Linked DNA regions of Caenorhabditis elegans. The protein of the gene in region 1 interacts with the protein of each later gene in a pairwise test. Each region holds a gene or a part of one and is shown on either strand. Other genes may lie near its edges.

Region 1 (3,757 bases):
TGTCGACGAGTGCTACTTGTTCCAGGTACGGTTTTTTTTATGTTCAATTTTTGAAAATTATTGTTTTGATATATTTTAATTGCTGTTGGTACTTATGAATTTTAGGACGAAACGTTGACTCCGATCTTCTGTAAGCCAAAGCTTATCCCATTGAAGACCATCACTACTCAGAAGCTCGAGAAAATGCAGCGTGAGCAGATGGAGAGACTTCAGGTCCCAGAAGGACAGAAGGCGGTGAGAATTTTGGTTTTTTTTGTTGGAAACTTTAGAAATTTTCCAAAAACCATGTTTTGTAATTAGTGGAGTCAGATAGGGTATTACATTGTACTATTCTGGTACGTTTTTAATTAAAATTTTAACACTTCAGTGTTGTAAATGAGCGATTGAAATTTTTAAATATATTTCCAGAGAACTCCGGAGTCTGCTGAGGCCGAGTCGCCAAAGAGCAATGAAGGGCCATCAACTTCTGAGCCAAAGGAAGCTGATGTCTGGACTGCTGATGATTGACGAAATGTTACATGAACATTCGCTCATTAATGAATAATCAATCAATTAATTTATTTTGTACAACTTTACATAATCATACGATTGCCAAAAAAAATATTTCCGCAATTATCAATTCAATTTGCAATAAAGTGATATGAATCATAAGATGGCGGTGTATTTGAAGATGAAACTTGATAATCAAGATTTCCAGAAATTTGATTTAATTCATTATTGTTATATTCCATATACTGATGTTGTTGTAGATGTTGTTGCTGCTGCTGCTCGGCGAGCTGATCTCTGATGTATCGAAGTTGAGAGCTTGATGAGCTTGAACTATTTCCTCCGTTTTTATTCCTAAGAATTCTGCTTATACTACTGACTGATGGAAGGTTAGCTCTATCGCAAATGTCGGCAGAAATAAGTCGATCTCGAATCTCCCATGCAAAAATTCCTGGATCAGAGCGCTTCAAACTTCGAATATATTCAACAACCTGAAAAAAATAAAAAAAATTTTGGAAAAATCTACGCCGGATTCAAACTCACTTTAGGCGTAGTAACTCTCGGTCTAGATCCTCCAATTGTTCCAGGCATTATTGTTCCATTTTCTGAGAACCGAGTCAATATTTTCGAAACGCATCCATGACTGATTTTTAGTTGACGAGAGATGTCACACGGTCGTGTTCCTTGTCTCGAGAGCTCAACTATTTTACAACGCATCTCAAATGGAAGTGGTCTTCCATTTACGAAAACTCCACCAAGTTGATTAACTTCGGCAGTTTTGGCAGGAGAGTTGGCAGGGGCTGATAAAAAGTTGCGTTAAAAATAATACTGATAGTTTCTATTAGCTTGATTTCATTGCTAGAAAGAATTGTCTTAACTTTCATCTCATACTGTAAGGATTTCAGACAATTTCTTTAAAGATATAGTAACTAATTATTAAGAATCTATAAAGGTTTTCACTGCCAGTGGAATAAGTTACTAAAAAAATCCATGTAAAACCCATGTAATTCTTAAATGAAAAGCCGAATTACAGACAATTGTACTTACCGTAACCCGATGACGTAGATATCGACGAATATTGTTGAATTCCATTATCAGAGCTTGGAGTCGTTGAAGTAGACGATGGTGTTGTTGTCCAGAAGACATCAGATGTTGTTGATGGATGATAAGAAGACATCATCCACGGTTGAGCGGTGTCGCAGTTCATGCTCGAGCGAGTGTGACTGTACCAATGCGGTACGTGGTCCGTAAAGTAACTGGTCCGTGCAGAGCTTCTTTAATCTCAAAGCTCTCAAGGCTCCGCCTATTATAAGGCAAGGGGGGGGGGGCAAACAGTAGCTGCATAGGTATTTGTTGAGATTATTAGGGGGAAACGATGGGACTTTGCCAAATAGGAACCAGCCGGTGGGAATATGATTGTTGGTTACTGTAGGCAGTTGAACTTGACAATGTTTTACCCATGATTCCATTTAAGGATGAAGTTACACGGGTGTGTTTTAACATCTGAAGTCGTGGAAGCTCGTGGTTTAAATATCTGACGTCACAAATCTTTTCGAAGCCTATAGACTCCTGTGGTGTTAATTTCTGAAGAATAAACTGTTTTGACATAAACTTGTCAAATCCAGGTGTTGATACGGTATTTATTCTTAGGTTTTTTAGTACATCTCAGTCCACATGTGACGGCATTGCTTTTCCACCAACGACTGCGTGATTTTCTTCGATTTCGAAGGCATGGAACACACGGACACCTGAGAAATGTCACTGTTTTTTTCTAGCTGCTAAATTGTTTATGAAAACAGATAAATATAAAAATTCAAAAAATTGAGCAACGTAATATCGTCATATCCAATCAACCACTTGACAAACACCTCTAGTGCATATCTACGGGTCATCTTGTTTGTACTCACCTAAATTGACTACATATATCCAAATCTCCATCAAATAAATGGTTAGTAATCACCGGATATGTAACAACCAGATGGTAACGACCAGTTATTCGCGCAAATATTAAACATTTTTGTGCATTATTCTAGTATCTAATTGATCAGTTCATTTCAAGGATTACAGTTATTATTAAACATTAGAAAGAAATGTTTATATTGTATTTTCACGAAATGCTGAGATATCAGTTAAAAGGCACACGATGTTTTCCTGAGTGGGTCTCGGCACGAACTCAGTCATAGTGAGGTTCCAAAATTTACAGATTTTTTCATTTGATATGGAAAATGTACTATACGAATTTTGAAATTCTGAAATGTACAGAAAAAACTAGAATTTTTCATGTAGCACATAGCACCTAGCTAGGATAAAGTTTTTGCGAATGTACGATATTTAAGGCTCTCTGCCAGATACCACTTAACGTTGTTAAACCTCCGCTTTATGTTTCAAACTTTAGCTGTTCCAAAAAACGTTCCCACTCCTACCAATGTAGTGTTAACTCGTTATAATGTTTGCATACCATGCTACTTTTTTGGCGGAACAAAACAGTGCCAAAAAAGGCGGCAGCCTTCTACTTACCGCCACCACTGTTTGAGTTTTGGCTTTTAGCAGAAAGCATTGTATTTCTTCTGAGAACCAATGAACAAAGAGGTGCACCATCGTTTATGTGATAATCGAGACACTTGGATGCGAAATTTGGGAAAAAATTAATGGGGCAGACGGGAACACACGATACAGTACTTTCACGGGAATCTAATGATTTTACACACACACAAATAAAGAATAATTGATTTAGATAAATTTAAATCCTTCTCGTTGTCAGTGTGAGAAGAAACAAAAGGATGAAAACGGATAAATTGCTTAAATGGATTAGCGAAAATAAGAAGTTAGTAGCCGTATGATATACGGTTCTAAAGAAGGGAAAGTGCAGATGATAATTGTTTGGAAAGACAAGTAGAAAAGGTTGAGACTTTAATGGACAATAGACAGAGCTTTTATTGATTGGCTGTAGAATTATTGCGACTGGATTTCGTGAGCGTCGAAATGAAGAGTGGAACTTCAATGTCTTCGCGTTGCTTCATTTCCTTAATCCACGGATGAGCCATGATGTCAACAAGTGGGAGACGTTCTTGGGGTTCCTTTTTGATTATTGCATTTATCAAACTGGCAGCTCCGTCAGTCACAACACTTGGAATCTGCAAAAAAGAAGCAATTTAGATGAAACTACTTGGGAAACAAAATGGAAATGAATGTTTGAGAACTGTCCCGAGGAGAAAAGGAACCATATTGCATTAAAAGCAAACCGGCACACGCATCTCGAGCTAGACTTCTA
Region 2 (3,757 bases), on another chromosome or scaffold:
CTATATTCTTGAAAAAAATAATTAATTAAACTCACATTTTATATCGATTTGTTGTTTAATGGGGAAATTGAATGTGCCAAGTTATGGCGGGATGTGACGGTTGTTGGAAACACGCGATGCGAGCTCTTCACGCGAGATCCACGAGACGTCGTCCGGAGGACAGAGACGGGCTGGAGACGAGGAATGAGATGAGGTCACCGTCGAAATTTTGATAATTGACGGAAGACCAGGAAAACGGGCGAAACGAGGCGGTCTATTGATTACCGGCTCGTACGCACGCTACTGGGCGATTGAATAGAAAATGAAGAAAAGGTTATAGATGTGAAGAGAGAGAGTCGGTCAGTCGGCAGAACGGGAAGCGATTGAAGAACAGAGTTGACGTCTGAAATTTGTTAAATCATTTTTAGAAACATTTTTGGTCAAATGTCTACTTCTACGAGTTTAAGGTACACGATAGCAACATGGTCTCGGCACGTGCGCGAAATCTAGAATATTTGATGTATGCGCCTTTAAGATTACTGTTAAGATTTTGTGTGCAAATAACTATCTATTTCAGTTAAATAAATAAATAACACAAAAACTATAAAATACACTAGAAAAATCGGCTGAGATTTGAAAGAAAAATCTGTACATTAATCTTAAAGGCGCGCACACCAAATATTTTAAATTAATTCGACGAGCGTGACAACACCGTTTTGCACTTATGTAAACTCGTAGAAGCACATAAGAAAATTCACTGTATTAACCTCAGGCTTTCGGATCTGGATCCCAAGGTGGCTCGGCGTTCTTGTCGAGTTGGATTTGACTGGCGCGAAGTTGAGGCTCCGCGTAGATCTTAGAGATCTGATCGACTACCTGTAATAAAACAACTATTTTCTGAGAATTCAAATATTACAAAAAAAAACTCACAGCGCCACTTAAGGGCGGTATGGAAGACTCGTTAGATTCCTCGGCGGAGGGAATCTTGGACGAATTGGGGACAGTTCGGGCAAGCTTCCATGCACACTCTCTCCCTTGGAGTGCACGGAACAAGACGATTTGTGTTAGTAGTTCACACGCAAGGTATCGAGTTCAAATCCGAGCACGACGGGGCACGGATTCTATTTGGAAAAATTATTGATTGGATTGATTGATGGTGTTAATGGAGAAATTAGGAGGAAGAGAATACGAAACGTAAGATAACCGACACAATATAATTTTATTTTATTGATTTTGATGCGTGGAAAAATTCAACATTTATCGATTTTCTGTTGAAATACCTTTAAACTTCCACGTAACCATCGTTATGTGATGTTCTTTCTATAGAAAATGCTAATAATGCCTGTCAGAATTAGGAAAGTAGACAAAGAAAGAGATGACTTGTAATCAGAAAACTGTATAGAGCAAGCAGTTCTAAATGATAAGAAGAGTGTCACGAGGAACGACGTCACACAAACTTTTTGAATTTTCTAGAATAACGCACACACAAGAAAAAGAAAAAGAGGGAAGCAGCTTCTTAAAGATATCCTGTGATGATGTCAGAGAGTCAGTTGTTTTCCGTTCGTCCCTAGAAGGAGGCGGCAACAGACACAGTTCAAAAATCGAAAAAAAGCGACCGAAAAACACGAACACCGGTGTTTTGATGGTGTTTAGAACTTTTATTTTTATGGGGAACAAACAACGAAATTCAGAAAAGAGCATTGCGTAACAAACACAAGGTTTTTGATTGATTCTAAATAGAAATTGAATTAACTTCCGGTCACAAGAAAAATGAATAGGAGCGAAATGCTAGAAATTGATTGATTTTTAGAATAATCTGCTCCGCAAAAAAAATTTCTATGGAAAAGATAAGAAAGAAGGCAAAGTGATTTTTAAAAGACAAATGGCAAGTTGCTTGTGAAACTTGGCGTTTGATAAGGAGGGAGGTCGCGATATAAGATCGGTATACCGTCAGCCGTTTTCAATTACGAAGAAATTTGATAGTTTTTTAAATTTAAAAATAATATTAAATAATTGAATATTTAATTTATCAAGTTATTTTTATCACAATTTGATTTTACTGGCGAGAGAAAGTGTGAATGACCTTGGCACGTGAGTGTGAGTTGAGAGAAGTTGCGAAATTTTAGATTTTTTTTTGATTTTTTACTTAAAAGATAACTTTCAAAGCTGGAAGTCTTTGAAAATTATGAATTTCCGCAGAAGCTCCCGAACAAAGTTCATCCTGAACAGCAGACAAGGGCAGAAGACAATTAAGAAAAAATCTGGTGACTGATTGGAAAATGAAGCCGAGAGGAAAAAATTGTGCGGGCGGCTTGTGATAGAAAAGAGAAAAAAAGAAATTTTTCCAAGAGAATCGAGACGCAGACTTGGGGCCAGAGAGCAGAGAAGCGGGGGCTCCGAGAGCATGCATCACAATTCCGCGCTCTTCTATTTTGGCGTGTTTTCGAAGGCTGTCGCGGAAGAAAAGTGGTCACATGACACCGTGGTGGTCAGCAAACGAGTTTTTTTAATGTTCTTCGCTTCGTAATCATTAAACTTTCTGGGAATAGAGCTTGAGATATTGGGGATCTGATAAAACGCGCTAATTATCGAGTTACACTTTTCAATCGATTACACAAAAATCGTAGAAAATTGTAAGAGAACAACGCGGAGCAAATTTCGTGTGAAAAATGAACTGAAATTCGTTTAAAAGGAGAAAAACTAAGGAATATTTCGACCGAAATAAAAAAAATTCAAGAAAAACGCGGCAATGCAAACACGCTTTATTGCGAAAGTGTCTTGAACCTCTCACTTTCGCACAGTCTCTCGTCAGATGATATCATTAATGCATTTTGTAAATAAATATTTTCTGATTCTTGGACAACAAATCGATGAAGCTATAGCTATAGCTAATGTTGATTCAATTCAAAATATTATAAAAAATATTTTTATTTTCTGAAAAAAGGAAACCCGAAAAGCAAAAACTGCTCAAGAAAGAAAGGCAAATAAATTATTATTCAAACGAATTTCACAGAGAGAATTTAATCGATAAATAAAACTTTAATCGATAACACACGTATTTGTCGACAAGTTACAATTGTATTTTTTTCGGGAAAAATCGGGGAAGAAACATCAAAAAAGGAGGAAACATTTAAATATCATGGGAATCGGGAAGGACATTACAGAGATCGACGAGTTTTTGATGTTTTGGGGGGTTAAAATTCAGAAAAAGCGATAAAAATTGTAATTTTAAGAAAAAAAATCTATAAATTAGGTGAATAAAGGGAACAAATTGAGATTCTGTGCATCAATTTCCGTGGCGTGCTCGTTTTGGTGGAACTCCGGCGTCTCCTCGATCCTGAAAATGAAAACTTTGAGATTTTCCAGACACGCAACCAGAGCAATGGTATTTAGAGACTAAAATTGATTGTAGTTGGTAGTGTGAGCCTCACCAAATACAAAAAATCGGATTTATATGGTTCTTTGAAATTTCAGCAAAATTTTGGCTGAAAATTTGACTTTTTCCGTCTAAAAAGTGCGTTTTACATGAAAATAACGTTTTTTTTCACATTTAATTTAATCGATAATCAGCATTCCAATAATTGCCAACGATGAAATGGTCATTCCAATTTTCTGCTTCCTTGTGGACACCTGCATTTTCTCTCCCATCAACCACCCGACTGTAATTGTTGCGATGAACTGAATCGCATTCACACACGGAACAACAACAGTAACAGGAAAGTTTACAACAAGAGCGTTGAACATTACCTAAAATACATTGTTATTCTATATAACTTGT

Evidence for each region. Proteins that work in one complex are often made in the same cells at the same time.
Region 2: the proteins of pax-1 (region 1) and azin-1 interact in a two-hybrid assay, tested with the Caenorhabditis elegans proteins (one large-scale study listed by BioGRID).

Annotation. Positions count from the first base shown.
Region 1 is NC_003283.11:8,222,901-8,226,657, reverse strand, and holds pax-1 (Paired box protein 1 homolog), read right to left. Parts: upstream 1,725-3,757; 5' UTR 1,694-1,724; coding exon 1,534-1,693; intron 1,287-1,533; coding exon 1,030-1,286; intron 978-1,029; coding exon 621-977; 3' UTR 542-620; downstream 1-541. Other genes in the region: K07C11.10 (BBSome-interacting protein 1), read left to right, coding at 1-25, 106-234, 409-507; air-1 (Aurora kinase), read right to left, coding at 3,420-3,620.
Region 2 is NC_003279.8:3,828,460-3,832,216, reverse strand, and holds the start of azin-1 (Antizyme inhibitor 1), read right to left. Parts: upstream 1,656-3,757; 5' UTR 1,033-1,655; coding exon of another isoform or gene 910-1,032; intron 856-909; coding exon of another isoform or gene 747-855; intron 383-746; coding exon of another isoform or gene 340-382; 5' UTR 199-339; coding exon of another isoform or gene 82-198; 5' UTR 36-81; intron 1-35. Other genes in the region: F53F10.8 (Transmembrane protein 234 homolog), read right to left, coding at 3,535-3,726.